Astyanax mexicanus: one gene and its partner. The protein of the gene in region 2 purifies or fractionates together with the protein of the main gene of each other region. This does not show direct contact. Links are inferred from orthologs where the notes say so. Each region holds a gene or a part of one and is shown on either strand. Other genes may lie near its edges.

What was found.
Region 1: the proteins of ift140 (region 2) and ift122 purify together in Homo sapiens (affinity purification with mass spectrometry; 4 studies listed by BioGRID and IntAct, counting the BioPlex papers as one, with this or other methods). This does not show direct contact. The link is inferred for Astyanax mexicanus from reciprocal best matches to the Homo sapiens genes IFT140 and IFT122.

What each region holds. Positions count from the first base shown.
Region 1 is NC_064419.1:15,106,852-15,123,687, forward strand, and holds the start of ift122 (intraflagellar transport protein 122 homolog), read right to left. Parts: upstream 8,482-16,836; 5' UTR 8,382-8,481; coding exon 8,323-8,381; intron 7,039-8,322; coding exon 6,972-7,038; intron 6,420-6,971; coding exon 6,335-6,419; intron 6,104-6,334; coding exon 6,025-6,103; intron 4,716-6,024; coding exon 4,639-4,715; intron 3,342-4,638; coding exon 3,275-3,341; intron 3,179-3,274; coding exon 3,032-3,178; intron 1,910-3,031; coding exon 1,817-1,909; intron 1-1,816. Other genes in the region: mbd4 (methyl-CpG-binding domain protein 4), read left to right, coding at 11,528-11,535, 11,632-11,763, 12,928-13,436, 14,701-14,760, 14,843-14,977, 15,894-16,043. UniProt on the Homo sapiens protein: As a component of the IFT complex A (IFT-A), a complex required for retrograde ciliary transport and entry into cilia of G protein-coupled receptors (GPCRs), it is required in ciliogenesis and ciliary protein trafficking.
Region 2 is NC_064413.1:55,770,365-55,786,578, reverse strand, and holds the start of ift140 (intraflagellar transport protein 140 homolog), read right to left. Parts: upstream 7,165-16,214; 5' UTR 7,001-7,164; intron 5,262-7,000; 5' UTR 5,260-5,261; coding exon 5,113-5,259; intron 4,059-5,112; coding exon 3,834-4,058; intron 3,021-3,833; coding exon 2,899-3,020; intron 1,756-2,898; coding exon 1,610-1,755; intron 1,004-1,609; coding exon 828-1,003; intron 1-827. UniProt on the Homo sapiens protein: Component of the IFT complex A (IFT-A), a complex required for retrograde ciliary transport and entry into cilia of G protein-coupled receptors (GPCRs).

The DNA of each region.
Region 1 (16,836 bases), on a different chromosome or scaffold from region 2:
AATGAGCAATTGTTAGATATTTTTTGGGAAGCTGTTCACAATACAGTTTATACTTCACAAACTATGATTAATTACAATTTTGTTGTCTTTAAAAGGGTATAATTGCATGTTATGCTATTCTATTATCTTTATATCGGTGGCATTTAAATGCTCATAAATAGACAATAAAATAATGGTGTGCAATATTGCCTGGGACAATATATCGTCCACAAATATTGTTATCCTGACAGGCCTTGTCATGTTTATCTGCTCCAGACAGTTCTATTCTAATAGCAGTACTTCTCTACAGGGACAAGACAAGCTGTGTGTGCCTTTGTACTAGAACTGTGTATTGGCAAGATGCTGGCGATACAATATGCATTTTTACTTATATTTTAAAATTGTCAATTGTCATAGAATAAACCCACAGTGATAAGTATGACATGCACAATTAATTGCACAATGTCACAATATATGGCCTCAATAATTCTGTATTAGCAGTGAATGAAATGGTCCTAAAATGATAGTATAATAATAATATAATAATATAATTTCTCGCAACAATTTCTGTAACATTTATGTCCTCCAGACAGGCCTATTTGCATGTAAGCTTTTAATTAAAATTAATATTGTGTTTTTAAGAATCAATAAAGTATTGCAAAACACAATATTGCAATACTTTGACACATCAATGTTTTGTTACCCCCTTATTTTGCACATCTGCAGTGTCAGCAGTGCAGTAAGGTGTATACATTCATTACAAGTGGTGTCCACAAGCATTTGGAAATATAGTATAATATTATATAGCTGCATGGAACAGCGACATGTAATTTTTCACTTCCCTACTTAATAACTCTCGTCCTCATAGCGAGACTCAATCCCACATGCACTTTGGCCCGGGGAATGTAACAGTAATTAATAACGGGATGGGGTTAGGAATAACCATGAAAACGTGGTGGAAATTCTGCTAAAGTTGATGCAGCAATTTATCTAAGAGTCTGGAACAATTGCTGGGTCATTACAGGATGGTTCATGTGGGAAAAGACAGTGATACATTACAGAGAAATACAGTGAAGCCTGAGCTTTACAGTAAAGCTAAGTTTCAGAGTGAGAAAAAGGCTTCAAATTTGAGAAGAAACAAACTGAAAAATCTGGCCTGAAAACAAACAAAATGAAACATTTGACCAAATGGCAACATTTTTAATATCCCGGCAGAGAAACCAAACAAAGCACAATACATTTACCTTAGCCATGTAATTCTAAGGAATGTATTTCAGCAGTGCAAGTCACATAGGTAGCAATGTCATTCTACCTTAGCAGTTCAAATGTAGTCATAAATTGATTTCAGACGTGCTATACTATTTATACATTTTGCTAGCCATGTATCTTCCATAGCAGTGCTATACTTGTATTAAATGTACCTCAGCAGTTTTAGGGAACTAAAATCACATGTAGCTAGCTAGCCAGCTACTTTAGCAATGCCATTCTAATAATAATTGTAGCTAACTACCTTAGTAATAATTGTAAAAACCTGAAATTTGTCATAAAGTTAGCTCAGTAACTAGCTTACTTTTTTCAAATCCTAAATTGACTTCAGACATGCTATTCTCGTCACACATTTAGCTAGCCACCTAGCTACCTCAGCAGTGCTATATTTGTGATAAAATTACCTTAGCAGTGCCATTTTTATCACCTTATCAAATTAACTTAAGTAGTGCAATTTTATTCATACATGTACCTCAGCAGTTATACTCATGTCACACGTAGCTAGCTAGCTAGTTCCTGAGGAAAATTAGTTGGTTCTTGAAGGCTCTATTAGAATCTGACTGTTACTCACTTTCCTGTACCTGAACCGATGATGACATTGTGGTCAGCGAGGGTTTCTTCAGCTCCATCTCCACACACTCCCCCTGACGGCTCTACCTGAGCACTGCATTTCCAAGTGGGTACAGAAAATCCTCATCTGCCAAACTCTGCAATTCCTCCATGATCCCATCATTTAACTCTTCAGTTCTGCTGGGGACCATGTCCACAACTATCTTACAGTAGTGGTTCTCAAGCCATTTGTCAGATCTCCTATATCAGTGGTTCTCCAACTTTTAAAGCAATGTAGCACCCATGATTAAACCAAAACATTTAAATACCACCTACTGATGCTACTGTGTGAGCCTTACCCACTTCACACCTTACGTAACCTGCAAATGACTGATTATTGATTATGCATGTATTGCCTACTGAGACGTGAAAAATATTGAGACAGAGGGAAATAACAGTAGTGTGGGAGAATAGTGGACTACAGTGTCTACATATTTTACTATTAATACTAATACAGTAACTATTGTTATTGTGTATTGTGGCCTTTTACTGGGTTCAACTGTTGGACCTATGAAAATGTAAAGAACTAAAGTGTAAAACCTAAACTTATAGACATGATCTACCAGGTTAAACACTAAACACCAACAAACCTGATGCTGTGAAAATTAGAGGTAAAAACATTTTAGATTTTTGCTCTTTTTTTCTGGCGCACCACCCTGAAATGCTTTGCATGAACCACAGTTTGAGAACCACTGTTCTAGATGGCTGGATTTATTTTTGTTTGTTTGTTTGTTTGCTTGTTTTTTTTGTGAGAACCACTGACTTGCGTTAGCCCCTTTAACTTGCTGATCCTGGATCAGTACAGCTACAGCTTTCACAATACATAACTGTCCCGCTCCAATTTAGAGAAAACAGTCCGGACACAACCATTAAATACTGTGTGTTAACCAGCGAATTGAAGTGACATAGCTCCCCCTGGTGGATAATGTAACATAGTAAAATATACCACTGGTACTCCTGCTCAAGCTCCTGCATTTACCCTCACATCTGATACTAATATACACTATATGGACAAAATTCTATTATATAATTCTAAGTTTTTGAACTTTTATTTCTTTCTGCAGTAATATATTTTACATCACCATTACCTATTGTCTATGTTTGTATCTTAATGAACATTCACTTGCCCTGATTTATTTATGAAGTGAACTGTGACACATTTAAACTGCAGTCTTACTTTGAGGGGTTCCAGACGATAGACCAGATGGGGGAGGACGAGCCCCCCGGCCTTTCAATCTTCACCTTCTCCTCTCCGTTCTTGTTCCTTATGCTCACCACCCCACTCATCATCCCCAGGGCCAAGTACTGGCCATCGTTCGTCCAGCTAAAGTAACAGACAGACAAACAGACAAACATCAGAGAGAACCTAGTGTTTCATGTTGTCATATGTGATACACTGATGTTACTTGTCATCACTCACCCACAACATGTGATCTTGCTGCTGACTTTATGCTTTGAAACAGATTTCTGTTCAGGAGACCAAAGACCTTCAAAACCAATTGAAATACATATAGTTAGCCTCAGACGAATGACAAATGGTTTAAAACAGTTTATCTAAAAAAATTAACATTACATTAACAGGGAAAAAATATTTTAAAATATTAGATATTATATTAGACATTATCTGTTCAAGTTTGATGCAGTGTGGAAAGGGGGGGGGGGGCTCATTTTTTCCTCTACCTTATTCTTCTCGTTTCTCTCTTTTTTTTATGTTTTTATATTTTAATTTCTCATTTTTCTCATATTTGACCTTTGATTAAAAAAAAAGAAAAGTAGCTGAGAACAAAAGTTTGGTTCTGTCGTGCTCCTTGATAACCTGAGCTTTTGAACTAATTTGCAATGACTTGAAGAATCAATTATTAACCAAACCAGTACCGGATAGCCTAAAAATTACAAATAACATCTTTAGGCATCTTTAGGTAGAAAAGTTTAAAAATGCTTTATTTAACTTACACTGGCATATACCATACTGTAAAAGTGACAAAAGTCATGGGACGTCATTCTGAAGTCCTCTGTATGCTTATACTTGGTGTTCCGTGTCTAAGATGAATTTTTTAATGGGCAGAATAAATTGCCTTTTCAAATGATCCCCTTTTTCACCCTAAACATTTTATTCTGTGTACATTTTCTCATAAACATCACTGAATCCTCTGAATTATGATATTATTTAACAGTTGTAATTATGTATTAATATTCTAAAAGCTAATGCTACAGCACTGCACTGAACAGCCTTCACTGGACAGCAGGACGCTTTGTAAGCTAGCAGGTACAGCCGGCTACTGCGGTTGTTTAAACTGGCAGTCAAGCTCGAGTAGTATCCCGTTTTGGATTATTACACTTCTTCACAAAAGATAATTACAGTATGATAAGAGGTGAAAACCAATTTATTTTTGAGCAGTGCTGCCTGTGTTAAATTTTAGAGAAAGTAAGCATTAGCTGCTCAGTGGTTCTCAATCCTGGTTTTGGACAAGTGCTTCCCCACAAGTTTTACTGTTTATACTAATTACAGCACACCTGATCCAACTGTGGTAATGTACTAACTGACACACCTTTACATTGCATCTCTTTCCACATAAACTGCCTTTCTTTAGTGAAAGGGGTCAATCAGCTTGCTGGTGAGCTGTGAGTGGATAAGGGTTGAGGTGTTAGTGCACCTTGTTGTTTAGATCAGCTTAATCACAGTAAAAAAAAAGCTAAAAATTTGAGCCAAAAGCTACAAACTACTGAAAGGTTTAATTCGATTTTAACAGTGATTTAAAAAATGTAGCATGCAAACACACTCACCAAAGTCCCCCGAGGAGCAAGAGGCAAGCTGGTGTGTGACAGGGTTGTAAGATACACACTGGATGGAGTCATTATGGCTGTAAGAGACAAGTTATCATTTACATATTCTGTAATATGGCATTGTTTTTTCCCATTTCTATACATTATAACTGTCAAAACAGTGTCAAAAGACTCAAAACTCATATATATGAGTGAAGTGGATTGTTGTATATCGCAATGTTATGTTTTGCAATACTGTATCGATTCCGAAAAACACAGTTTTAATTTGTTCCATTTGGAACCAAATTTACTGCTAAATCTCTCTTCAGATCCTGCTGTTTTCATTGGATAAAAAGGAAACAATTTTTATTTCATGAAGATTTTATTCAAATGTATTATTATTGTGTGTTTTTATACTTTGCATTAGCAATTTATCATTTTGCCAGCAGTACTACAATACATCACAAATTAATTGTAAGCCCTGTATCATGATAAGCATTGCCTTGCTCATTGCTAATACATTGCTGTAGTCAATCAATCAATACATTGAGGGTAACCCTCATTTTCAATGTAGCCGAGCTTACATAAAATTAAAGGGATTGAAACTTACATTTAAATTATAAAATCAAGCAAACAATGTAAGATTTAATTAAGACAACAATAAAATAATTCAAAATAAAAGGATATGCAAATAGGCTAAAATGTAGAGCAATAAAACAAAGAGATAAATACGTAGAATAATAAAATATAAACACAGTTAATATAAATGTAAATATATATAAAATTATAAAAATGTAAATGATGGAACTAAAATAAATAAATAAATAATAATAATAATAATAATAATAATAATAATAATAATAATAAGTACAAAATATATTAAAATAAAAGGAAGAAAATACATGAAATAAAAATGTAAAAGGCCAAAAGTAAAGGCAGTAACAAAACAAATAAAAGGATGAAATGAATAAAATAAATAAAATAAAAGTGCTTACTTGTAAAACATAAAATTAGATAAATAAAAAGACAAAATAATTTTAAATAAGTTACAGGCTGTCTGAGGATGGTTAGATATTAAAAGTTTAAAATGATTTAGTGACACCAGCGAGCTGGGTTTTAGGGTTTCCTGTAATGAATTCCAGCTCGCTGATGCACTGTAGCTAAAAACAGAAAAAATAGTTGGGTAGGTTGTTGCTATGTGTTGGTTTTCCAGGTGGTTTCTATGGTGTTTTTAGATGTAAGATGGTTGCCCTAAAGCATTCCAGGTGGTTGCTTTGGTGTTGCTCTGGTGATTATAAGTGGTAAGTACAACACCATTAATAGTGTAAAGTGAGAAATAAAGCAGCAATTGTGGTTATGATAGCAATCCCCATAACCATAAATCACATTAAAGTAGCACAAACTCACGTGTATTTGAGAATGCCCTCCAGTTTTGAGGTCCAGATAATGATGCTTTTGTCTGCAGAGCCAGATGCAAAACGCTTTCCTGACCAAAGAGAAGAAAAGTTCTGAGAAGTTATATCAAGAATAAAAAATACTGACAGTGGCATCATACGCTGCACATATATAGAGATATGTCTCTCAAAATCCAGATCAATACTAATGTCAAAGAGAGCATCACACTAAATACTTTTTCTGTCAGTTAAGTAGACAAAGCATTTGAGAAACCGAGCCCAAAATAGTATTAATAAGTATTATTAAGTATTAATAAACTTACCATCCTTAGCGTAAGCCACACAGTACACAGTGTCTTTATGGCCTTTAAGTGGCTGGATAAGGGTCCCATCAGCTGTATCGTAAACCTGCAGCAGATTTGTTTTATGTTTTAACATTTTAACTAAACTCAGAACAAAATCCACCAATAATATTGTAAATTTAATATTGAAGACTATATTAAAGCTATACAAGAAGACATGCAGAATTATTTAGTAAACAAAAAGTATTAAATAAACCAGTATGTAGAAAACAAACTAAAGAAAAACACTGAATTAGACAGTGTCCCTGGTACTGTAATTTCTGTACTTTTGTCAAAATATACAGAATTTCTTTTACTGTTTTTTTTTTTTTCCTTACAGAATAACTTGCCATGTTTTTCAATATTTTGTTTGTTTGATTTTGTTGACTTACCTTAATAAATATAACAAAACATTTATCTATTTATATTGACCAAGTTGAGGGTGGGCTATATGGCATGTTTTTGATTCAGAACACATTTATTTCTATAATTATACCCTAGATTTTTTTTTTTAAAGTTGGATGAGATGTTTACAGACATTTGTACAATGTAGCTTAAATAAATTAGCTTAGAATTTATAAACAACTAAAAATCCTTTCATAAAAGAAGCACCACATACCAGCACTCTGTTTCCAGCTGCCACTATGAGCTGACTGCCATCTGGTTTGAACGCCAGGTCATAAATGCTGCCACACAGAGGAAGACAAAGCAATACATCAAAGAGATTCCGTTTTTAATTCAGATCAGTTTATGTTGGCTTGTTTATTCAGATTAGTTTATGTTGGCTTGTTGCAGTTTAGTTTATGACAAATTTACAGAATCACACAACCACAGAATAGACAGACTGGCCTGCAAGCTAACCTAGCTAGTTAACTACTAGAGTTGCCACCTATCAGAAATAAACAACAAACAAACATGGCTCCTCAACTTCTGTGTGGCATGGTGCCAGCAGCAGTGGTATGTTTTATATACATACACTTTATTTTAATTTCAATTTATTATTTTTATTATTATTATTATTATTTTACAATTTGTTATGCGGTAGAATATTTTTGTGCATAGTTACACCACTGTAATAATATAACTTATGTAATAATCACTGAAGACTGTATTCCCCAAAAATACAAACATTTTGATACAAAATACAGAGAAAGCTCTACAATAAAGGTTTTCTCTCAAATGAAGTTAATTTATGTATTTGTTTATTTATTTATTTAACTGTTAATCCATTAGTATGATTTGTTCTTTATATGACCATATATAATACTTATTTTGGCTAATACTGCTGTATATTAAATGAATGAATCATTAATTTGACTTTGTAACAGAACCTGTGTGTTAGACATGTGTTTTGGACATTTATGGAAATAACGTTACCGAACAAACCACATTTAATTAACAACATTTAATTGCCAAATAAAGGACGATTCTGTGTTTTACGGGACGAGTGGCAAACCTATGAGCTACACATTATTTCTCATACACCTACAGCTATGCCCTGCTTTGTTTAAAATGCTTAATTCAGACGCGTAAATATGTTTTTGGTTTGTCAGTAAACATTAACGTTACCGACACTGCTTTGGTAATCTAGCTAAGTTACTTTTACATGAACTAGTTAAAATGAAAGGCTAGCTTAAGCTAGGTTAAACCGTTAGGGTTGTTAACGCTGGTTAGCTAAGCTAAATAAGCTAGGTTGTGTTTTATCCAGTATTGCAACTTAACAACAGCAGAAACCAGAGAAAATACCCTGCTGCTGCACCGCCAGGCTGCTAAATACTACACAAACGACATATTTCGCTTTACAAATTTATGTAGATATCGTTAGCTTAGCCACATAGCCAATATAAGCTAGTAAGCTAATATTGACAAACCCCTCCAGTGGTTTACATAGTAACCGCCGTTGCTAACCACATCCACTGATCAAAATTCACACAAACAAAGCCAGCAGTTTATAAACCAGCGAGTCTCACCACTGCTCAACCTTATCCCGGTCGTGTACTTTATCTATCCATGTGGGAACAGCTCGCATCGTTGTTTTTAATGCTAAATATTTCGTTAAAATTCGCTTTGTGGCGATATCAACAGGTCTCCGGTGTAATACGGACGGAGCTCTGCCGTCACCCCGTCAAAATAAAAGTTCTGAGGACCCGCTACCCATGTTTAGAAAATTTGCTGAGCACACTTAAAATATTCCTTCATGTTTCTGGAGAGAGATTACTTATAAAATATTATTAACTTAAAATGTATTATATATATATATATATATACTTTAACAATGTGGCGATATAAATGATTCTATGTTTTTTTTCTTTTATGTTGTGATAAAAATTGTACACAGTCTGTACTCGATGCTATAAAAAAGTTTTGGTACTTTCAGGAAAATAAATGACTTAATTCATAAATGTAGAGTTACACTGTTAAAATCCCAGATTTTTTTATGGACATGTAGTTACCTTGCAAAACAAAAACCCTGTATGTAATTTTATTATCTTAAATTCTATCTACAATTGTAGCTAACATAGCTAGCTAACAAGCTATAGGTCTCTGCTTAAGATAATTTATGTTTTTGTACTCCACTTTCTGCTCTTTCTTTACATTACAGACTGTATCAAATCATTTAAAATTGACGTAATCACTTAGATATATGTGATACATGTATGTCTTCTTTGAAAACAACAATTTGTTGTCTTATTTGTATTTGAATAATCAAAAGAAATAATAATAAGGAAATGTATTAATTACTAACTAACTAACTAATATTTTTGTTATATTTTTGTATGAAATTTATTAGCATAATAGGCATATTTTTTAAATTATATATTTATTAACTTTTACAGATAGAAACATTTTAACTATAAGTAATGAAAAATAAAATAGGGATATGGTACAAAAGGAAAAATCACAGATTGTTTAGTGTTTTCATTGATTTTTTAATGTTTGTTTTGAATTAAATAAAGTGAGTTCTACAATGAAAAAAATGGTTTGATACAGTATTCATTGTTTTATCGTTGTACTTTTGCATGTGCAAAATGGCAGCTAATTCATTAAAATTATGTTTGAGTCACCATGTTTTTTAAAGGGTTGTTTTTTTATTGTTTATTTTTGAGGTTGTTTATTTATAAAAGTAGCTGAGCTAGCTACAGAAGATCCAGTTCACTCTGAAATTTTAATCTGATAAAGGTCCTCGGAGAAGCTCCACAGTACAGTAGGTGGCAGTAGTAAGGTAGGTGCTGAAATCAGGTTTTACAAGAAGAAGAATTATAAACACACCAAAGCTTCAGTGAGACAGAAATATAAACAAACTAGGAAAAGTTTAAAACGGCAGAAATCTACGGGACATAGTGGCGCTCATGTCATGTGAGGAATATCAAAACTATTTTTATACTTAACAATGACAGTTCAAAATATTTTATTTAATAAAAAAACTCTGCTTATGTCTGTTGGAAAGAGGTGGGATGTACGTTAATGAAGTACAAATACTTTGTTAACCAGGCAAACCTACATTACTTAAGTATTAATGTTGATTACGTATACTTTACTAGAGTAATTATTTTTACATTTTCAAACAATTATCTAAATGTACTGCTCCTTACATTTTAAAAATAGTTTCGTTACTCCTATTTAATTTCAGCTTGTTTTTATGACGGCTTCTCATCCTTCAGTAAAACCCCTAATAAGATAAATCTCTCCATCAGGATAGAGTGAATCTGATTGTGATTGGAAGAGAAAAGTATAAACATATACCATTCCGACACCATATTGGTTTATACCATCCATCACACCTGCACACCTTTATATATGCAGCTAAAACAGGGAGCCTAGTGCATCCAAATGTATAAAGATTAACATTTTAATATAACATATAGTCTTTATGGCTTTTAGAAAAATGTGTTTTGGGGAAGGAGGTGGGGGATGTAGTGCACTATAGTACTCTGAGGCATAGCTGTCAAGTCTCCCGTTTTGGCCGGGAAACTACCGTATTTTACTCGTCTTTCCCGCCGTCCTCCCGTATTAGTATTTTCCCGTAAATTTCCCGTATTATATTAAAATAAAAAAATATATATTATTGAGGAGACATGGCACTGACCGCTCTGTGTCTCTTAACCAATCGTGGAGCCGGTTCAAGGAGAAAGTCCCGCCTTTCAGGAGAAACAGCCAATCAGCTTGCAAAGGAGGGTCAGTGTGGGGAAGCCCCCCGTCGCAGTTGGAGCTGCTGATGTTAAAACAGATCTGGATATACAAGCGATTTTTCTGATAGCTGCTTTAAAATACTCGTCTCCGAAATAAAACACACAGATTAAACCTTTTAAAATAAACTAATTTACAGCTTGTGACTCAGTTTAACTAGAAATTTGGAGAGGACCGAAATTAACTGAACTGATCAGGGGTGGAGTGATCAAAAGAAAGAAGTATTAATTAAAAATTATTGTGTAGGCCCCTTAGGACAAATATTTACTGATGAAACATATCTGGTCCATGTCCTTTTAGTAAAAGCTCATGATACTATGTTTAGGTCACCAACAGTCATTTTGCAGAATTTGTGCACCCTTTGTTCAATTTTAAATCCATTAAATAAATAAAAAATATATCATATAAAAGAGTGCATTTATTACAAAAAAGACATGAAATCTTAATTTTTTAAAAAAAGAAAACGATTTTTAATTTGGCTGTATTAAAAGAATGACATATGTAGGAATGTCCACAACATTTCAGATTCTTATAATCTGATTGTAGTGTGTAAGTGGTTCACTTGTGGTTATTTTAGATTTTTTGTAAACCTGTCTTAAAATGTAAGGGATACTGAACCTTCGTTGGGCTGGTGGGACGGCTTTAAGCGTACAGAGGAAAATATCCCTTATTTTTAAATCTAAAACTTGACAGGTATGCTCTGAGGCACGGCCTAAGCTTTTGTAAGTAGTGACTTTTACATTACTTTTACATTACTTTTACTTTTATACTTTAAGTTGTTTTGAAACCAGTACTTTTACACTTTTACTTAAAGGGTAAAAAGCTTGAGTTGATACTTCAACTTCTACAGAAGTGTTTTAAACCCTATTATCTATACCTCTACCTGAGTAATAAATGGAGATACTTATCACGCCTTTGGTTGGAAACCTTGCACAGAAATGCTAAAAAACATGCAGTGAAATTGGTGGCTCATTAGTTGTAACTCAAATGTACAGGTAAAGCAATATGTCTATGTTAGTTATTCAATACATAATATCATTATATTCTGATTTATCTGAATGTTGTGGAAAATCTTGTTTCTGTTGCTTCAGTTGGATTTGGCTAGATTCTGTGTGTTGCACTAAAAGAATGACCACACAGGGTCTCCCTTCTGGCTGGACCAGAGAGACAAGGCAGAGGAAACGGGGGAAGACAGCAGGAAAAGTGGACACCTACATCATCAGGTGGGTGTTTATTAGAAGGATGTCTACAAAAACAAATTTTTGGGACATTATCAGAATTCTACGCCTTATGGCTTTTTATTACTTTGATGACTTAAAGCAGCACTAGGTAGGATTTCCTTGATTTTTGATATTTTTAAAGAAGTAAAATTACAGTTTGAAACTCACTGCAGCGCTAGGAATAGGAAGAATAGCGGTGCTCTCGTGTCTGTGCCGTAGCTCCTCCGACCTGCTTTCCGACCTTTAGTTCTAACAGTTCAGACCGAATATGTCTGTGAAAGACAGAAAACGAGAAAGAGAAACTAATCCGCCTAAAACATTTATTACACTCTACGACTGTAGGGCGAGCCCACGAGCACAAAATCTCAATCCTACCTAGTGGAGCTTTAAGACACCTTTTAACTATTTTTCAAACGTATCAGATTGTTTTATTTTATTGTAAGTAAAGTGTTATATGTGTCCACTCTGTCATGGTAATCTGCACACCAGGGTGGACTTCAATTGATGAAAATGTGGTTAAGCTAGAGTTGCATAAGTTATATTTTTATGATGAACTTCTTCTGTATCAAATATTCTTTTTCATTTTTTTTTATTAATTCAGTTATTTTGAATGTTTACAGTGACAGGGTAAACATTAGTATGGAGACAATATGAAACAATATAAGTGAAATATTAAATATTAAATATTAAAATATAAATATTCACTTAATTAATATTAAGTGAAGTTGTTCCTTAAGTAAAAGTGCTCAGTCCCTTAAAAGTAAAACAGTGTGAGGGTTGTGATGTCCCTGGTTGCTTTCTTAAAGGGGGCAAAGTAATCCCAAGTACCTTTATACAACCTCTAAACAAACTTTATACCTTATTTTATTTATTTAACCTTTTATTTTATTTTAACCTTTAAAGGGCTTAACATTTTACTTTATATAATTTGTAAAAATCCCTTTATTCAGAGTAAATCTTAACAAAAATGTGTTGTTATTAGTCTAAACAACATTTAAACAACAATGCAACGAACATAAAAGGCAAGTTGTATAACTCAGGTGCAGGAATTACAGTCTTACTGTATTATGTTATTCTTCTCAGTCATAATGCTATAATATAAGTGAAAATAAGCAGTATTCTGTTTTTCATCTTGATATATTTAACGTAAATGTGCTTCACTGTCAGTCCTGAAGGCAGACGCTTTCGATCCAAGTCGCAGCTCCAGAACTACCTGCAGTCAGATGAATGTGCTGATTCTCACCTAGAGCTGGAGATGTTTGACTTTACTTCACCCAAACACTACAGTGAAGCAGCTCAGCAGCAGGAAAGTAAAGCAGGAAGGCAGAGAAGTTTAAAACAGAAAAAGAAACCTGTGGATAGCCCTAATCCAGAACCGCAGGATGGAGTAGTGACAGAAAATGGAAGAATCAAAACGGAAAAGAAAAGGAGGAACCAGACAAAACGGCATGAAGAAAACGGACTCGGAGAGGAAACGGAAAACAGAAATATTAAAACGGAGGATGAGTTACCCAGCGTGTCTTCAGCACCAGCACTAACAGTACAGCCTGCCTCAGAGAGTGAAGGAGAGAATGTAGAAGAGCTGGAGAGAAAGGAGAGAGATGCAGTAAAAGAAGAACAGATGAGTAACGAGGCCACAGGGGGGAGCTACTCGCCTGCCAGAAACACAAACAGCGGTGAGTTTCCCCCTCAGCACTGCCTGCCTCAAAAACTATGGACAATAGGCCTGGGCAATAAGGCAAAAATATATATCAAAATATGTTTCTTAATTTCGGTCAATAAGATGTAATTCTGATATTAATATATACAGTATAAAAGCACTGCCAGTGCTGTACTTGACAACATACCGACAGAGACTGTTGTAGTAAACCTATTATATAGCGACATTAAAACAATCACAGTAATTTGACGTTTTGGTTTAAAAAAGGCATATTGCTGAAATGATTTAAAATGTATCACAATATGATAAAATATCATCATATTAAATCAAACGGAGAAAAACAACTGGGTTTGATAGATCCAAATTTGTGGGGAAATCTTTGTAGAGTTGGCGACACGTCTATCACAAACTCAGGATGTAGAGAGAATTAAATTTAATTTTCTTACACCCACTTTATTATACTCCAGATAAGCTGCATAATTTTCATTGAAATTTGGATGTGATGTTGTTGTTGTTGATGTTACTTTTGTACAACTGTACATGATCATGCCCTAAATTTGATATTCTTGGTATATTTTTTCCCAATAGTTCCAAAATTCAGCCTATTGGATTATTTTACCAACAGTGACCTTAAAAATAGTTCACTAAAATCCTTTTGATAGCAGCTAAAATTTGTGTTGCTCGTACCTGGAAACTCGAGACCAATATTCCTTTCCAAATGTGTATTTCTAAATTTAACCAGCATATACTCCTAGAAAGAATCTCCTACTGTCTAAGAAACAAATTGAACATGTTTTTAAGGTGTGGCAGCCCTTCTTTTACTATATTGAAAATAGACTTAGGCTGATACTGATCTTTAAAATACATAATTTTATCTTTGACTATAATTGTTAGTTACACATTAGGTTCATCCAATTTGTATTATTTATATTTATACTATATGTATAATTATATTATACTGTATGTCATATTAGAACAATTTCTTAAAAGTTAATTTATTTACAGATTTCCATGTTTTCTATTTTTGTATTTATTACATTACATTATTGACTTGTTTGTGTTTAATGTTTATGATTCAAAAAGCAAACTAAATAAAATACACCCATCCGAACCCTAATTACATTGCACCAAAATAAAATCCTCATAACTAAAGTAGTAGATAGTGAACACGTTTAAAATATGATAAATCAGTCTCATTCTTCAGTATTCTTCATTATTCTTCTGTACCATAGTGATTTATGTTGTTGCACAATAGCATTTATTTCACCTCTTTGTTATAGGGACAAAGTTGTTGGCAGAGAAGAGGAGAACCAGTCCTTACTTTACTAGAAAGAGTGATGGTAGGTTCCCCTGAATCCTGTAATTTTAATATGTAAATCTTTTACTGTAAAGATTATGGCCTTCTTTCTCTCTCTTCCCGAGGTCTCAGTCCTCCAAGACGCAAAGCATTAAGAAAGTGGACTCCACCACGTTCCCCTTTCAATCTGGTCCAAGAAACCCTGTTTCATGATCCCTGGAAGCTTTTAGTCGCCACCATCTTCCTCAACAAGACCAGTGGTAAATATCAGCCAGAAATACACTTCTCACAATGATCCCACATGCAGTTTTACAGAGATATTCACAAAACTCTACATATACAAAAATGAGATATAAGAATTAGTGGTGTCAACCCATTACAAATAAAGAATCAGATTAATCACAATTAATCACACATTTTCCTCTTCTTAAGACTAAGCTTTTAACAATAAAGAAAATGTAAAAAAATGAATCAATGTAAGATTGGCTAAATAAAAATATATATTAATATACAGTACCAGTCAAAAAGTATACCTTCTGATTCAACTTTTTTTTCCCTACATAGTAAATGAATAGTAAAGTGATTCAGACTATAAAGGAACACATAAGGAATCATGTGGTAATTTAAAAGTATTAAACAAACCAAAATACTCTGTAGGTGCTCTTATCTTGGTTTCTGTTAACTTGCGGTTTCTGATGCTGGTAACTGCTGATGAACCTATACTGTGCAACAGAGGAAACTCTTTCCTTCCTTTCCTGGGTTGGTCCTGATGAGAGCCAGTTTCATCAGTATCAGTATCTCATTCTGTATCTGCACTTTACTCATAATTACTCTGATACCTACTGGACTAACTTCGCACTTCCACACACATACTCTAAATATTTGCACATGTATGTAGCATTGTATTATCTGTATATTCAGTTATATTTTACCTTATATCCACAGGGCAATACCATTTGTCTATAATGTTAATGAGTTATTGTATATTTAGGTAAATTGTTTGTTCTGTTCATTTTTTTTACTCTACTCTATATTGTAAATATGTTGTTATCTGCATACTGTGAGAACTTGCACAGGTTTTTCACTCACCTGTATACCTGTACTCTGTGATGTGACAGTAAATCTGATTTAATTAGATTTTTTATTTTATGTGATTTATCTTGTTTGTATGAGTAGGAAAGGCAGCAATTCCAATACTGTGGCAGTTTTTGGAGCGTTACCCATCTGCTGAAGTTACCAGAGCCAGTGAATGGGAACCGATTGCTGAGTTACTGCAGCCTCTCGGTTTAAACACTCTTCGAGCCAAAGCACTCATACGCTTCTCTGGTGAGTGATCATTACAGGAACAGGTTACTGACAACGAAACGCAAGATTTTACAGGATCAGCTAAGATGTTTTGGGTTTATTTTTTCAGTGAAGCTACATCATTAACTTATCTACTGAATAATGCAGGTCCGTTACTGTATACTATATTTGTCTTGTAGATCCAGTGTGAAAATACAAGAAAACACAGTGCACCGGATTATAAGGCACACTATCAATAATCTGGTCTATTTTCATACATAAGGTGCATTTGATTATGGTGTTGCCATGTTTTCCTTCTAAATCAGCAGGTAGACCTGTAACAAAACTGTAATTCTTTAAAAAAATTAATAATAATAATTTTAAGTCAAACGAGCGCTGGATGTTAATCTACACAGATTCCAATCCTGAAAACGTGTAAGCTTAGATTTCCAGATTTCCACTAGTGCTAGCTATATTTAAGAATGCCACATATTACTGCGAGGATCAGCTGATCTTCATCTAGTAATTGCTGGAGGGAATGTGAAAGAAAGAACCTCAAATTTTGTTCATATATTTTGGTCCTGTGTAAAACAAAAAAGTATTGGGAGGATATCTATGATGCCCTTCAGTCAGTTTTTGATGTTCCTGTTCCGAAAGAGCCGTTGGTATCACTGTTGAGAGCTGTCCCTCAGGGGTTTGACAATAGAAACCAGATCTGGTTTTATTTGCAGCAAAAAAATTGGGGAATAACTGTGAACTGGTTCAAAACCACTGTCCCATTGTATGAATCTTGGGTAGTGTCTATGGGTGAAAATGTGCTAAGAAGTTTTAATAA
Region 2 (16,214 bases):
GCACATATTAAAGCCCATCAGCCAATCAGGGGCCTTGGCTGTAATAAGGTGCTTAGTCATGCAGGTGTGTGCAGTAAGAGATGAGGGAGACTAAACAGATATGCTCCTCCATTTCTCCCAGTTCAGATGTGCTAATTTCCTTTTGTTTAAGTGTGAAATTTGATGGTTCAAGTTCAAATCTGTGACACAAAGTAAGATAACGTTTTAACTTATCTGATTCTAGATTTATTTCTATAGCTACTATTTCTACCTATCCTCAAGAGTTTCATTATTTTACACCTGTTTATGTGTCTGTATTTTAAATGACTTCTTTATATTTGAGTTACTGAGTTGTTTAGGGAAGTTCTCATGGTATAAACTGTTTTAGAAGTGTTACAACTGATCTGTGTATCAAGTTTTTAGTCTTATTTTACTTATTCATATTAACTCATATATTTAGAATGTGTAAGACTAATACGTCTTGTGGAGGATAGAGAATAATATTTTAACCACACTAACTGGATACCCTTCTCCAGAGTGCACACTCAGCCTGTACAGTAGCCTATGAGAAGCTATTAGCACAGCAACAGAGCAGAGCTAACAAACACCACTAACCACACAAATCAGCAAACGATACAGACCACATTTAACCACCACTAAAAGTACAGCAGCAGCATTCAGAAATGTAAAGCTTATAAGGCAAAAATACAGCATTTACTGTTTGTTTCTTTCACTTTTGTGTTAGCAATTTCAGTCAGTATTAAAATACAGCACGTTAAAACTCCCACACACTAATTAAATTCTTTAAAATAGCTTTGCTGTAGTAAATATTTAAAACATGACATTACCTTGCTCAGCTCTTGAGCTCCTCCTTCTGGACCGAGGCTGAACTGTGAGAGCAGCAGGGAGTCGGTGACCACAGCTAGCATGGCTCTGCGCTCCGAATAAAACATCTTCTGCACTCTGCCCTCTACAGTCAGCAGGGACACACTGCGCCCCCGGTCATCCACACTGTACACACACCCTATAACACACACACACACACAATAGCATTAGTATTAGCCGCTAACCGCTATTTCCCTTTTTTTAGAGAGAAGTATTATTAGCGTGTAACCTGCTTCTAACCCCAGATAGCGCTGCTGAAAAGGTTAGCCACTAATGCTAATGCTCCAGCCTTAGTGCTGGAGAAATTCGGGAATGTAAGCTTACTGTAAATAAACTGAAGCGATTTACTCACCCAAATAAACAGTTTTCAGGAAAGAAATCTGTGTAGATTAACATTCAGCACTCTTTTAACTTTAAAAGAAAGGTTTTTTTATTACAGTTTTGTTTACTTAAGCTTAGCTTTACTTAACTTATTTAGCTACCCCCCCCCCCCCCCCCCCCACCACCACCAGAGGCAAGACCTGCTGAATTAGAAGTTTCTTATAGTGTCTCTTAAAATGTGCTTTATAATCCAGTGCGCCTTATGTATGAAAATAGACCAAAAAATAGACGTTTATTGATGTACTATTGAATTATTCTGGTAAAGAATATTATTAGAGCTGGATATGAACATTATACGAACTTAATTCTGAATACTGAAGTAGTGATACTGATATTGATATTAAGTAGGCAGTGTATGTCTGACCGTCGGCTGTGCTGGCGTAGATAGTGAGTCCTTCTTGTGACCCAGGAGACCAAACCCCGCCCCCTTTACTGCTCTTCCTCCAATTAAACTTATCCAGGGCATCTTCATCACCACTGACTGCTGCTTTCGCCAACATCGCCACATCCCTGCATACACACACACACACACACACACACACACACACACAATTACATGTGTGTAACACAAAATCAATGTATACCCACTTATTTATTGAAAAAATGTAATGCACAATAATGAACATTAGCAAAAGTCCAATTTAATGGTAAACATATTTGGGTTTTAGGTGATGTTAGGTGACGTTAGATGACATATGGTGGTGTATGGTGGTGTGAGGTGATGTTAAGGGGTTTTAGGTGATGTTAGGTGATGTATGATGGTGTATGGTGCTGTGAGGTGATGTGAGGTGAGGTTAGGTGATGTGAGGTAAGGTGATGTGAGGTGAGGTTAGGTGATGTGAGGTAAGGTAATGTGAGGTGAAGTTAGGTGATGTGAGGTAAGGTGATGTGAGGTGATGTGAGGTAAGGTAATGTGAGGTGAAGTTAGGTGATGTGAGGTAAGGTGATGTGAGGTGATGTGAGGTAAGGTAATGTGAGGTGAAGTTAGGTGATGTGAGGTAAGGTGATGTGAGGTGATGTGAGGTAAGGTAATGTGAGGTGAAGTTAGGTGATGTGAGGTAAGGTGATGTGAGGTGATGTGAGGTAAGGTAATGTGAGGTGAAGTTAGGTGATGTGAGGTAAGGTGATGTGAGGTGATGTGAGGTAAGGTAATGTGAGGTGAAGTTAGGTGATGTGAGGTAAGGTGATGTGAGGTGAGGTTAGGTGATGTGAGGTAAGGTGATGTGAGGTAAGGTAATGTGAGGTGAAGTTAGGTGATGTGAGGTAAGGTGATGTGAGGTGAGGTTAGGTGATGTGAGGTAAGGTGATGTGAGGTGAGGTTAGGTGATGTGAGGTAAGGTGATGTTAGGTTATGCGAGGTGAGGTAAGGTGATGCGAGGTGATGTGAGGTGATGTGAGGTGATGTTAAGGGGTTTTAGGTCATGTTAGGTGATGTATGATGGTGTGAGGTGATGTGAGGTAATGTGAGGTGAGGTTAGGTGACGTATGGTGGTGTGAGGTGATGTTAAGGGGTTTAAGGTGAAGTGAGGTGACATGAGGTGATGTTAGGTGATGGTTAGGTGATGTATGGTGACGCGAGGTGATGTGAGGTGATGTGAGGTGATGTGAGGTACAGTAAAGTGATGTTAGGTGATGGTTAGGTGCGGTGCTTACTCTGTGGGAGGTGTGGGTCTGAAGATGCAGGTGGTTAGGGGTTTGTTGTATTGTTGTTTGGTCACATGATTCCCATGCAGTCTTCCTCTAGCATCCACCTTCCACAAGGCTAGAACCCCTGCCTACACACACACACACACACACACACACACACACAATGAGCATCTCCATTTTTGCTGTTTTTCCACCGTTTTTCTCCATAATGTAAATATTGCACTTGTTCTTTGAATTGTTCTTTTTACTTTGACTTTAATTAAAAATTACGTTTTTTTTTTGCTATCATGATGAAGATACAGGGCATGTCATTAGTGCACCGTGCAGCTTGACTTGGAGCGTCAGTGTGTCTTTGCTATCGTAACGACGGGAAAAGTACACCATGTGTGGTTCGAAACGTGCAAAAGGCATTATCGTTAGCAGTTAGCCGCTAATGCAAATGCTCCAGCTGTAGTGGAAATCTGTAAATCTAAGTTAACTGTAAATAAACAGTTTTCAGGTGAGAAATTTGTGTAGATTAACATGCAGCAATCGATTGACTTGTCTGACTCGACTAAAATGTTTTTCCTTAAGAATTACAATTTTGTTTACTTAGCTTAGCTTTATTGTATTAGAAAGAAAACATGGCGACACCCCTGTTCCTTACTAGAGTTACATAAAATGCGCCTTATAATCCAGTGGGCCTTATAGTGCAAAAAATACACTACATGTACATGTTATCATTACCTGTATGCTGCATGATTCAGAATCGAAATAAATCAAATTGGAACGATTTTGTAGATCAGTAGCGACACCCAGCCCTAGTAAACATGCAGAACACTTTGAATTTAACTTAAGACACAGTTAATTTGTCTTGTTTTAAGTGACTCTAGTTGTTTTAACAGTAGAGTCTGATTCTAAAAAAGAGAAACAGGACGTGGTCAGGAAGTGATGGAGCTCACCTCATCTCCAGTCACCAGTCTGGCTCCACTGGAGCTCCACTCCAGCAGTGTGATGCAGGCGGTGTGTGTGTTCTGGGGCAGGAGGGTCTGTTCTCCGTGGGGGTGTGTGAGGAGCAGGGTCTCGCCCGTCTCCCAGCCCACCGCCAGCAGGGGTTTAGTGGGGTGCCACCGCAGCAGCGCCGGGCTGAACCCACGCTCCACATGACACAACTCCACATGCTCCCCCTACAACACACACACAACCACACGGTACTGTAGAGGTTTCTTTAATAAACAATCAATCAATCAATCAACTTTTATCCATCTTCACTTGGTAATACATTGAGGGGAACACTCATTTTTAATGCAGCCGAGCAGTTAAAACTTAAAGGGTTTAAGGACTTAAAAAGTACACCAGTCAGTACACCAGTGATGACTTTCTTCTTTAGGACATTCCAACAGTACTGTTGTACTGAAAAATATATTTGATAAAAAAACAAGCAAGCAAACAACATAAGACTTAATTGAGAAGAAATAAAATAATTCAGAATAAAAGGATAAATGGACATGCTAAAATGTAAAGCAATACAATAAAGAGATAAATACATAATTAGAATAATAAAAAATAAGCATAATTAAATGAATAATTGTCTAAAACAATGGAGTATCTAAAATAACAATAAGATTATAAAGAAAGTGAGTGATAGAAAAAAAAAGGTAAAATAGAAGACAATAAAAAAGGATCAAATAAATGAAATAAAAAGGTAAAAGGCAAATAAAAAACATGGAATGAGACAAATAAAGACACTAAAAAGTAAAACAAAAAAAATGATAAATAAAAAGACAAATAAATAAAATAACTCAACTAAAACAATTATAATCTGTCTGAAGGTGGTTAGAAATTAAAATAAGTTTATAAAACATTATTTAGTGACTACAGTGAGCTGACTTTTAGAGTTTTGAGTGAAAGAAGCACAAGATACAGGGTTCATTGACTTTTTAACCAAAAGATTTTCATGATTTTTTTCATGACTTTTAGATTTTTAAGACATCAGTGCAGACATGGACAATAAAACTAAACATCAACTAAAACTATAAGTAAAATTGATTATAGTGGCTAAAATTAATCTAAAAGAAAGACTTAATAATAAAATGTGTGAGCTAAACTTATCCAGGCCTGGAAATTGCTATTTTCACATTCCATGACTTTTCCAGGTTTTCATGACCGTACGAACCCTGAAGGGAGTTAGTAGGTGTTTCTAATAAAGAGGCCAGTAAGTGCAATATCACTTGTTCTTACCTGCTGCAGGTAGATGTCTACACTTCCTCCGGATGCAGGGTTGATGGAAGCGACTGCCAGCAGGGGCTGAGAGGAGTGCCAGGCTAAGAGAGCTGCTGATCCACTGCTGTCTGGAGCCTGAACCCGGTGATCAAAATACACAGCCATACCTGTAATAAACACAGGGGACAGAACACAGTGAGATCCCTGATCACCAAACCAGCAGCTAATTAGCCTGAGAGTTACAGAGGATACAAACATCCTGAGAAAAAAAACCCTAACACAACACTAAATACATAAAAATACAAGATAAATATATTTTATAAAGTTAAAGAATCATTCACATTGATAGGCAGAAACAGAAAGCGAACAGCAGCAAGAAATATACACAGAATCTCAAAATCACAATAATTCCAAAATATAGATCTCAATCATCTCAGCCTATGAAATAAAATAATAAAAAAAAAATAATAATAAAAGTGACCCACCACAGCAATTTTTCTAATTATTATTATATTTTTCTTTTTTTATTTAAATTCAATTGTAATGCTTCAAAACATTTAGGGATCTAAAAAGTAATAGTTGGCAAAAAAAAAATCTAGAAAAAATGAAGAGAGCACTTCAGTTTCTGAATCAGTTTCTCTGATTTTGCTATTCATAGGTAAATGTTTAATAAAATGATGTTTTGATCTATAAACTAATAACTCAAATATTTTAGTCTTCTACGGTTTCAACTTTAAATTCAGCTTTAAATTTAAGCATGTACACTTATCTTTTTATTCGAAATTATTTTATTTCTTCTTAATTAGGTCATAATTGTTTGCTTGTTTTTCTAACGCTTTTGTCATTAAATCTTTATTGTTTCGTTTTTCTAACCTGATTAAATACTATTTTAAATTCAATTTAATTTCCAGTATGTTTAAGTTGCAAATGCTCAGCTGCACTGAAAATGAGGATTGCCCTCATTGTATTACAGAATAAAAAAATAAAGGTTGATTTGTTTTTCTTTGTTTTATTCTATAAGCAATGGACAACATTTCCCCCAAATTCCAATTAAAAATATTGTCATTTAGAGCATTTATTTACAGTAAATGAGAAATGCACAAAATAACAAAACTTAAGGAATAACCAAAGACCAAATAATGCAAAGAAAAAAGTTCATATTCATAAAGTTTTAAGAGTTCAGAAATAATCAATATTTGGTGGAATAACCCTGGTTTTTAATCACAGTTTTTATGCATCTTGGCATCATGTTCTCCTCCACCAGTCTTACACACTGCTTTTGGATATCTTTATGCTGCTTTACTCCTGGTGCAAAAATTCAAGCAGTTCAGTTTGATTTAATGGCTTGTGATCATCCATTTTTGATCCTCTTGATTTATATTCCAGAGGAAGAAACTCATCATTTTAGATGGCCCCTTATTTTTTTTCAGAGCTGTACAAATAAAAAATAAGTAAATAAGTAAAAATATAAATAAATAAATAAATGATTCAGAAAAAACAGGGTTCTTTATTAAAATATGTTAATGTATATTCTGTGGCACTGCTTAAATAAGCCTTTAGCTGTAATAATAATAAAAACACTTAACTATAAAAGTTAAACCCATATAACCCATTAACTGATAGCTACAGCTAATACACTGTAAGTTATCTGTTTAGTAAAATAAATGTTATTTAAGTGAACAGCCCGCTCGCTGACAGAAAACCCCGCTGTAATGGTGTAAATGTGCGGGTTTAATCCGGTTTAGTTTGTATTCTGTATTAAATGAACCGGTTTGTTTGGTAACAAGTTAATTTAGCTGTATTAGCATCGCTAGCTAACAGCAGCTAATCCCTCCACACTACTAACGTTACCCGAATAGCGGGGCCTAACTGATAAACCGCAGCGAATAACAGCCTGCACTCTTACCCCAGCGCTCTGTACCGGTCCGCAGAAAAGCCCGTAATCCGTTTTATTCAGATTCGACTTTATATGAAGCGGTTTGTTCTCTTTTTACTCTCATTTGTACCGGATCCTCCGTGTTTTCGCTGCTGCTGCTGGTCGAGAGGCGTTGAGTCCCGGTTACCGAGACAACCAACAGGACGGGGCTACGGGAGGCAGGCTGGGCTCTGATTGGCGGACTCTCCTGGGCGTATCCAATTCACTTACTTAGGGCACTAGTTAGGGCACATAGGACTGGTAACTTCTCTACATAAAGAATAAGAAATACAGCTCTGGAGAGAGCAAAAGAAAACACCTAAAAATGATGAGCTTCTTTGATTTTACCAAATTAAAAACATATATACAATTATTATTTATGTATATATATATATATATATATATATATATATATATATATATATATATATATATATATATATATATATATATATATATATATATATAATGAAAGCTGATTTATATATAATGAACTCTGATATATATATATAATGAAAGCTGATATATATATAATAAACGCTGATATATATATATATATATATATATATATATATATATATATATATATATATATATATATATAATGAAAGCTGATATATATATATATATATAGATAATGAACTCTGATATATATATATATATATATATATATATATATATATATATATAATGAAAGCTGATATGTATATAATGAACTCTGATATTTATTTATAATGAACTCTGATATATATATATATATATATATATAATGAAAGCTGATATGTATATATATAGATAATGAACTCTGATATATATGTAATGAAAGCTGATATATATATATATATTGTATGCTGGTAGACCGCCCCCGGCTCGGGGAAAGCAGCTCGCGGGCCGGAGCTTGTTTGCCACCTTCGCCCCCTGACACTTTGGCCGGTCGCGCCGCACCTCCGTGGAGAGAATGAGCCTCGCTGCCTGCCGGTGGTCGGCCTCCCCTGCGCGAAGAGCTGCGGCCGGCTGAACCACAACGCCACCTGCAGTCTCTCAGGCTGACTGTGCGGACCACCCGTTTACCTCTTAAAGGGTCTTAACATTAAAGGGTCTTCATTATATATATATCAGAGTTCATTATACATGTATCAGAGTTCATTATATATATATTTTTCATTATATATATCAGAGTTCATTATATATATGTCAGAGTTCATTATATATATATATCAGAGTTCATTATATATATATATATATATATATATATATATATATATATATATCAGAGTTCATTATATATATATATATATATATATATATATATATATCAGAGTTCATTATATATATATATATCAGAGTTCATTATATATATATATATATATATATATATATATATATATATATATATATATATATATATATATATATATATATATCGGCTTTCATTATATATATCGCTTTCATTATATATATATCGCTTTCATTATATATATATATATCAGAGTTCATTATATATATCGCTTTCATTATATATATATATATCAGCTTTCATTATATATATATCGCTTTCATTATATATATATCGCTTTCATTATATATATATCAGAGTTCATTATATATATATCGCTTTCATTATATATATATCGCTTTCATTATATATATATATCAGAGTTCATTATATATATCGCTTTCATTATATATATATCAGCTTTCATTATATATATATCGCTTTCATTATGTATAAATATCGCTTTCATTATATATATATCAGAGTTCATTATATATATATCGCTTTCATTATGTATATATATCGCTTTCATTATATATATATATATATCAGAGTTCATTATATATATGTCAGAGTTCATTATATTTATATCAGAGTTCATTATATATATATATATATATATATATATATATATATATATATATATATATATATATCAGAGTTCATTATATATATATCGGCTTTCATTATATATATATCAGCTTTTATTATATATATATATATCGGCTTTCATTATATATATATATATATATATATCGACTTTTATTATTTTATCGGCTTTCATTTTATATATATATATATCGCTTTAATTATATATATATATCAGAGTTCATTATATATATATATCAGAGTTCATTATATATATAACAGAGTTCATTATATATATATATATATATATATATATATATATATATATATATATATATATATATATATATATATGAGTTGATTATATATATATATCAGAGTTCGTTATATATATATCAGAGTTCATTGTATATATATATCAGAGTTCATTATATATATATCAGAGTTCATTATATATATATATATATCGGCTTTCATTATATATATATCAGAGTTCATTATATATATGTATATATATGTATCGGCTTTCATTATATATATATCGCTTTCATTATGTCAGGGCTCTAGAAATTGGACCCAAAAGCAGAGAGAAATCGGGAGAGTGCTGATTTATTAGGTCAAACAAAGAATACAACACAAACTTCCTCTTCTCAGGACAAAAACCTTTTCCCAAAAATACCAAACTAAAAATCCACAGGTTGGAGCAAAAATCTCTACAAAAATATCCCTTTAAGCAGGTCAAAAAATATCTAACAAAACAACCCACAAAAACAGTCCATCAATTGTCCAAACAAAAACAGATTCCCAAAATCCCACTTAATCAATTGTCCAACAAAATCCCACAAAAACAGTCCATCAATTGTCCAAACAAAAACAGATTCCCAAAAATCCCACTTAATCGAGTGTCCAACAAAAACCCACAAAAACAGTCCATCAATTGTCCAAACAAAAAACAGGTTCACAAAAATCCCACTTAAATCCTTTCAGAGAGAAAAAAACACAACAGAACAGCACGAAGGATAAAGACAGGAATAACTCACAAAACGTTGACAGGGCACGGCACGGCAATCCGAGGCAGATTACCCAAAATCCAGGGTTTAAATAAGGCAGGAGGGGGGGAAAGAACCAATGAGAGGCAAGGAAACAACAAGGTCAAACAGTCACAGGTGGATGGCATCACAGACAATCAAGGTTCAGAGTTCAGATCAAAAAGGCAGGTCAATACCCACAAATGTCCACCAGATGGAGACAAAGGGGCCCGCAGATAGAACCCTTACAGTACCCCCCCCATCAACGAACGCCTCCCGGCGTAACAGTGGATTGGGCAAGATGCCGACGGTGAAAGTCCCTGATGAGAGAGGGATCGAGGATCTGGCGCGCAGGGACCCAGCTCCTCTCCTCCGGGCCGTAACCCTCCCAGTCAACAAGATACTGCCAGCCACGGCCCCGTCGACGGGCCTGCAGCAGCCGACGCACTGTATAGGCATCAGAGCCATCAATGAGTCGGGGGGGAGGAGGGGGTACAGGGGCAGGGTGCATGGGACTACAAATGAATGGCTTGATGCGGGAGACGTGGAAAGTGGGGTGGATGCGGCGAAGGATGAGGGGCAACTTCAGCCTAACAGCAGACCGGTTGATAAGTTTACAAATCGGGAAGGGGCCGATGAAGCGGGGTGCCAGCTTGCGGGAGTCCACCTTAAGTGGAAGGTCCTGGGTGGACAACCAAACACGCTGGCCCACCTGGTAACGAGGGGCCATGGTGCGATGCCTGTCCGCCTGTTTCTTGATCCTGGCCGAGGCACGTCGGAGAGCAGAGCATGCTTGGCGCCATGTCCGACGGCAGCGACGAACGAAGGCTTGGGCAGAGGGAACCCCAACCTCCACTTCTTGGTCGGGGAACAGGGGCGGTTGGTAACCCAGGCAGCATTCAAAGGGTGACAGACCAGACGAAGAGGAGGTGAGCGAGTTGATAGAGTACTCGGCCCAGGGCAACTGCTGACTCCAGGTGGAGGGGTTCTGGGAGGCCAGGCAGCGTAGAACCGTCTCCAGAAGCTGGTTCGCCCTCTCCGTCTGGCCATTAGACTGCGGGTGAAAACCAGAAGAGAGAGAGACTGAAGCACCAAGCATCTTACAAAAGGCTTGCCAGAACCTAGATGTAAACTGTGGACCCCTGTCCGAGACCACCTCTACGGGGAGCCCATGCAGTCTAAAAACATGATTTATCAGCAAATTAGCGGTCTCTCTAGCAGATGGTAGTTTGGGCAAAGGGATAAAATGAACAGATTTAGAAAACCGGTCAACCACAGTTAAAATGGTAGTGTTGCCGTTAGATTCGGGCAGGCCGGTAATGAAATCAAGGGCAATGTGGGACCAGGGTCTCTTGGGTATAGATAAAGGCTGTAATAGACCTGATGGAGGTTAAGTAGGCCTCTTGTTCTGGGCGCAGACTGGACAGGCAGAGACGAATCGGCGGACCTCTCTCCCCATGGACGGCCACCAGAACCGTCTCTTGATAAAGGACTGGGTTCGTCTGGTTCCAGGGTGGCAGGACAGGTGGGAGGAGTGACCCCATTGCAGCACCTGTGGACGGACAGAAACTGGGACAAACAAACAATTAGACGGACACTGACTGGGGGTGGATTCAGAGTCTTGAGCATTCTGTACCAGTGACTCAATGTCCATAATGGCGGCGCCGACAAGGCAGCGTTCAGGGAGAATAGTGGTGGGGGAAGGGGTACTGTCCGAACTGCTGAATGAACGGGAAAGGGCATCAGGTTTTCCATTCTTCGACCCAGGGCGATAGGAGAGGGTAAAATTAAATCTGGAGAAGAAGAGGGACCAGCGGGCTTGACGGGGATTCAGGCGTTTGGCAGAGCGCAGATATTCCAGATTTTTATGGTCAGTCCAGACCAGGAATGGCAATGTGCTCCCCTCCAACCAATGCCTCCACTCCTCCAAGGCCAATTTCACCGCCAGGAGCTCTCGGTCACCGATGTCATAGTTGCGTTCACTGGGGGAGAGCCGGTGGGAGTAAAAGGCACATGGATGTACCTTCTGATCCTTAGTAGAGCGCTGGGAGAGGACAGCCCCCACATCCACATCTGAGGCATCTACCTCCACAATGAATTGTTGGTCAGGGTCAGGCTGTACGAGGATGGGGGCAGAGGTGAAACAAGATTTCAAAGCTTGGAAGACCTTATTGGCAGATGGGGACCAGTGGAAGGCCACAGCGGAAGATGTGAGAGAAGTCAGGGGGGCTGCCAGGGTGCTATAGTTCCTGATAAACCGGCGGTAAAAATTAGCAAAACCAAGGAACCGCTGTAGCTCCTTGCGTGTAGATGGTTCGGGCCACTCCACCACAGCCCGCACTTTGCTAGGATCCATTTGTAGGGTTCCCGTGGAGACCACAAAGCCCAGGAAGGAGATGGTGTCTTGATGGAACTCACTTTTTTCTGCCTTCACATAGAGCCGATTCTCCAGGAGGCGTTGAAGGACTGTTCGGACATGAGCAATATGCTCTGGTAAGGACTTCGAAAAAATGAGGATGTCGTCCAAATAAACAAAAACAAACTTATTAAGCATGTCCCTGAGGACATCGTTAACAAGAGCCTGAAAGAAGGCAGGAGCATTGGTCAGTCCAAATGGGAGGACAAGATATTCATAATGGCCAGAGGGGGTATTGAAAGCGGTCTTCCACTCGTCTCCCTCCTTAATCCGGACCAAGTGGTAGGCATTACGGAGATCCAATTTGCTGAACACCGTGGCACCGTGAAGCATTTCAAAGGCAGAGGACATAAGAGGAAGGGGATAGCGATTTCGGACAGTTATTTCATTTAGTCCTCGATAGTCAATGCAGGGCCGAAGTGAGCCATCCTTCTTGCCCACGAAGAAGAAACCGGCACCTGCTGGTGAGGAAGAGGGGCGAATGATACCCGCAGCTAGGGACTCTGATATATATTTATTCATAGCCACAGTCTCAGGCTGAGAGAGCGAATATAGACCACCTCTGGGGGGGAATGTGCCAGGTAGAAGCTCTATGGCACAGTCATAGGGTCGGTGCGGGGGTAGGGATATGGCTCGGGACTTGCTAAACACCGCCTTCAGATCCAGGTATTCTAGGGGAATTTCAGACAGGTCAGGGAACTCTTCATGGGGTTCCGGGCTAGGGGACTCTGAAAGCATAGCAGAGCGCAGGCATTGGGAATGGCAGGACTGATTCCAACCAACAATTTTGTTTTTAGACCAGTCAATGAGAGGGTTGTGCTTGGCTAGCCAGGGGGTGCCCAGGACGAGGGGGGCTTGAGGGGAATCAACAAGGCATAGGGTAATCGACTCACGGTGGTTGCCAGACAGAGTGAGACTGACTGGAGAGGTGATGTGAGTGACCTCTCCCAGAGATGCTCCATTCAGAGCCCTTGCCAGTAAGGGTGTTTGAAGGGGAGATGTGGGTATGGCCAACTTGGAGGCTAGAGAAGCATCAATGAAGCTCTCGTCAGCTCCTGAGTCAATAAGCACCTGAAAGGTTTGACGTTGCTGGCCCCATTCTAAAACTGCAGGGAACAGGTTGCAAGGAATGGAAGAGGGTGGGTTAACAGGAGTCACGCTCACCAGTACTCCTCGCTTTACTGGCGAGCGTTGGCTTTTAGCGGGCAGGTGGCAGCCAGATGTCCCAACTGACCACAATAGAGGCAGGAACCGGACTGAATTCTTCTTTGCCTCTCTGTAGGTGACAGCCGGGTACGATCTACCTGCATGGGCTCGACATTGCTTGGTGTGGGAGGTGGGGGTGGGGTCAGGCCTAGTGTAGACCGATGTGTGGATACGGTGCAGCCTGGTACACTCTGAAGCCTGGTGAAGAACCCCCCTCCTTGGCGTTGTCGCAGGCGATTATCAATACGAATGGCACGGTCCACAAGGTCGTCTAAAGTCTTAGGGGGGTCTTGGGCTATTAGTTGGTCTTTTACTGCCTCTGATAGACCATGGAGGAAGGTGTCGTGCTGGGCCTCGGAGTTCCAGCCACTCGAGGTGGCCAGGGTGCGGAACTGGATAGCAAAATCAGAAACTGACCTGTTGCCTTGGCGGATGACCAACATCTCTCTGGCAGCCTCTCTCCCATACTTCGACCTGTCAAAGACCTTCTTCATTTCCTCCACAAAATCTTTGTAGATCATGCAGAATGGCTGCTTTGTCTCCCAGACTGATGTTCCCCACTCTTTGGCTTTCCCCGAAAGTTACGTTATGATATACGCCACCTTGGCTGGATCAGACGGAAAGGTCATAGGCTGGAGTTGAAAGACTAAGTCACACTGGGTGAGGAAAGCGCGGCAGCTGCCAGGTTCACCTGAGTACCGTTCTGGAGGGGGCAAACGGGGTTCGGGAGTATGGAGGGTTGACAGTGTCATAGGGGTCGGTTCGGCTTGGGTGGCAGGTGTAGCTTCAGCCGTGGCAGCTGTCCGGGAGAGGTGGAGGTGCTGGATCTGGGCCGCCAGGTCAGCTAGTCTTGTTGTCATGTTCTCCATAGTTTTGGACATTGAGTCTAGTTGGTTGTGGTGCCTCCCAAGAACAGCTCCTTGTTGTTCCAAGGCAGAGCGAAGGAAGTCGGGGAACGCTTGGTCTTGGGACATTATATATATATATATATATATATCAGAGTTCATTATATATATATATCGGCTTTCATTATATATATATATATATATATATATATATATATATATATATTTATATATATATATATCGGCTTTCATTATATATATATCGCTTCATTATATATATATATCAGAGTTCCTTATATATATATCGCTTTCATTATATATATATATATCAGAGTTCATTATATATATATCACTTTCATTATATATATATCGCTTTCATTATATATATATCGCTTTCATTATATATATATCGCTTTCATTATATATATATATCGCTTTCATTATATATATATCGCTTTCATTATATATATATCGCTTTCATTATATATATATATCAGAGTTCATTATATATATCGCTTTCATTATATATATATATATCAGCTTTCATTATATATATATATCGCTTTCATTATATATATATATATCGGTTTCATTATATATATATCAGAGTTCATTATATATATATCGCTTTCATTATATATATCAGAGTTCATTATATATATATCGCTTTCATTATATATATATATCAGAGTTCATTATATATATATCGCTTTCATTATATATATATCGCTTTCATTATATATATATCGCTTTCATTATATATATATCGCTTTCATTATATATATATATCGCTTTCATTATATATATATATCGCTTTCATTATATATATATCGCTTTCATTATATATATATCGCTTTCATTATATATATATCGCTTTCATTATATATATATATCAGAGTTCATTATATATATCGCTTTCATTATATATATATATATCAGCTTTCAATATATATATATATATATATCGCTTTCATTATATATATATATCGCTTTCATTATATATATATCAGAGTTCATTATATATATATCGCTTTCATTATATATATATCGCTTTCATTATATATATATATCAGAGTTCATTATATATATCGCTTTCATTATATATATATCAGCTTTCATTATATATATATCGCTTTCATTATGTATAAATATCGCTTTCATTATATATATATCAGAGTTCATTATATATATATCGCTTTCATTATGTATATATATCGCTTTCATTATTTATATATATCAGAGTTCATTATATATATGTCAGAGTTCATTATATTTATATCAGAGTTCATTATATATATATATATATATATATATATATATATATATATATATATATATATCAGAGTTCATTATATATATATCGGCTTTCATTATATATATATCAGCTTTTATTATATATATATATATATATCGGCTTTCATTATATATATATATATATATATATATATATCGACTTTTATTATTTTATCGGCTTTCATTTTATATATATATATATCGCTTTAATTATATATATATCAGAGTTCATTATATATATATATATCAGAGTTCATTATATATATAACAGAGTTCATTATATATATATATATCTGAGTTGATTATATATATATCAGAGTTCGTTATATATATATCAGAGTTCATTGTATATATATATCAGAGTTCATTATATATATATATCAGAGTTCATTATATATATATATATATATCGGCTTTCATTATATATATATCAGAGTTCATTATATATATGTATATATATGTATCGGCTTTCATTATATATATATCGCTTTCATTATATATATATATATATATATATATATATCAGAGTTCATTATATATATATATCGGCTTT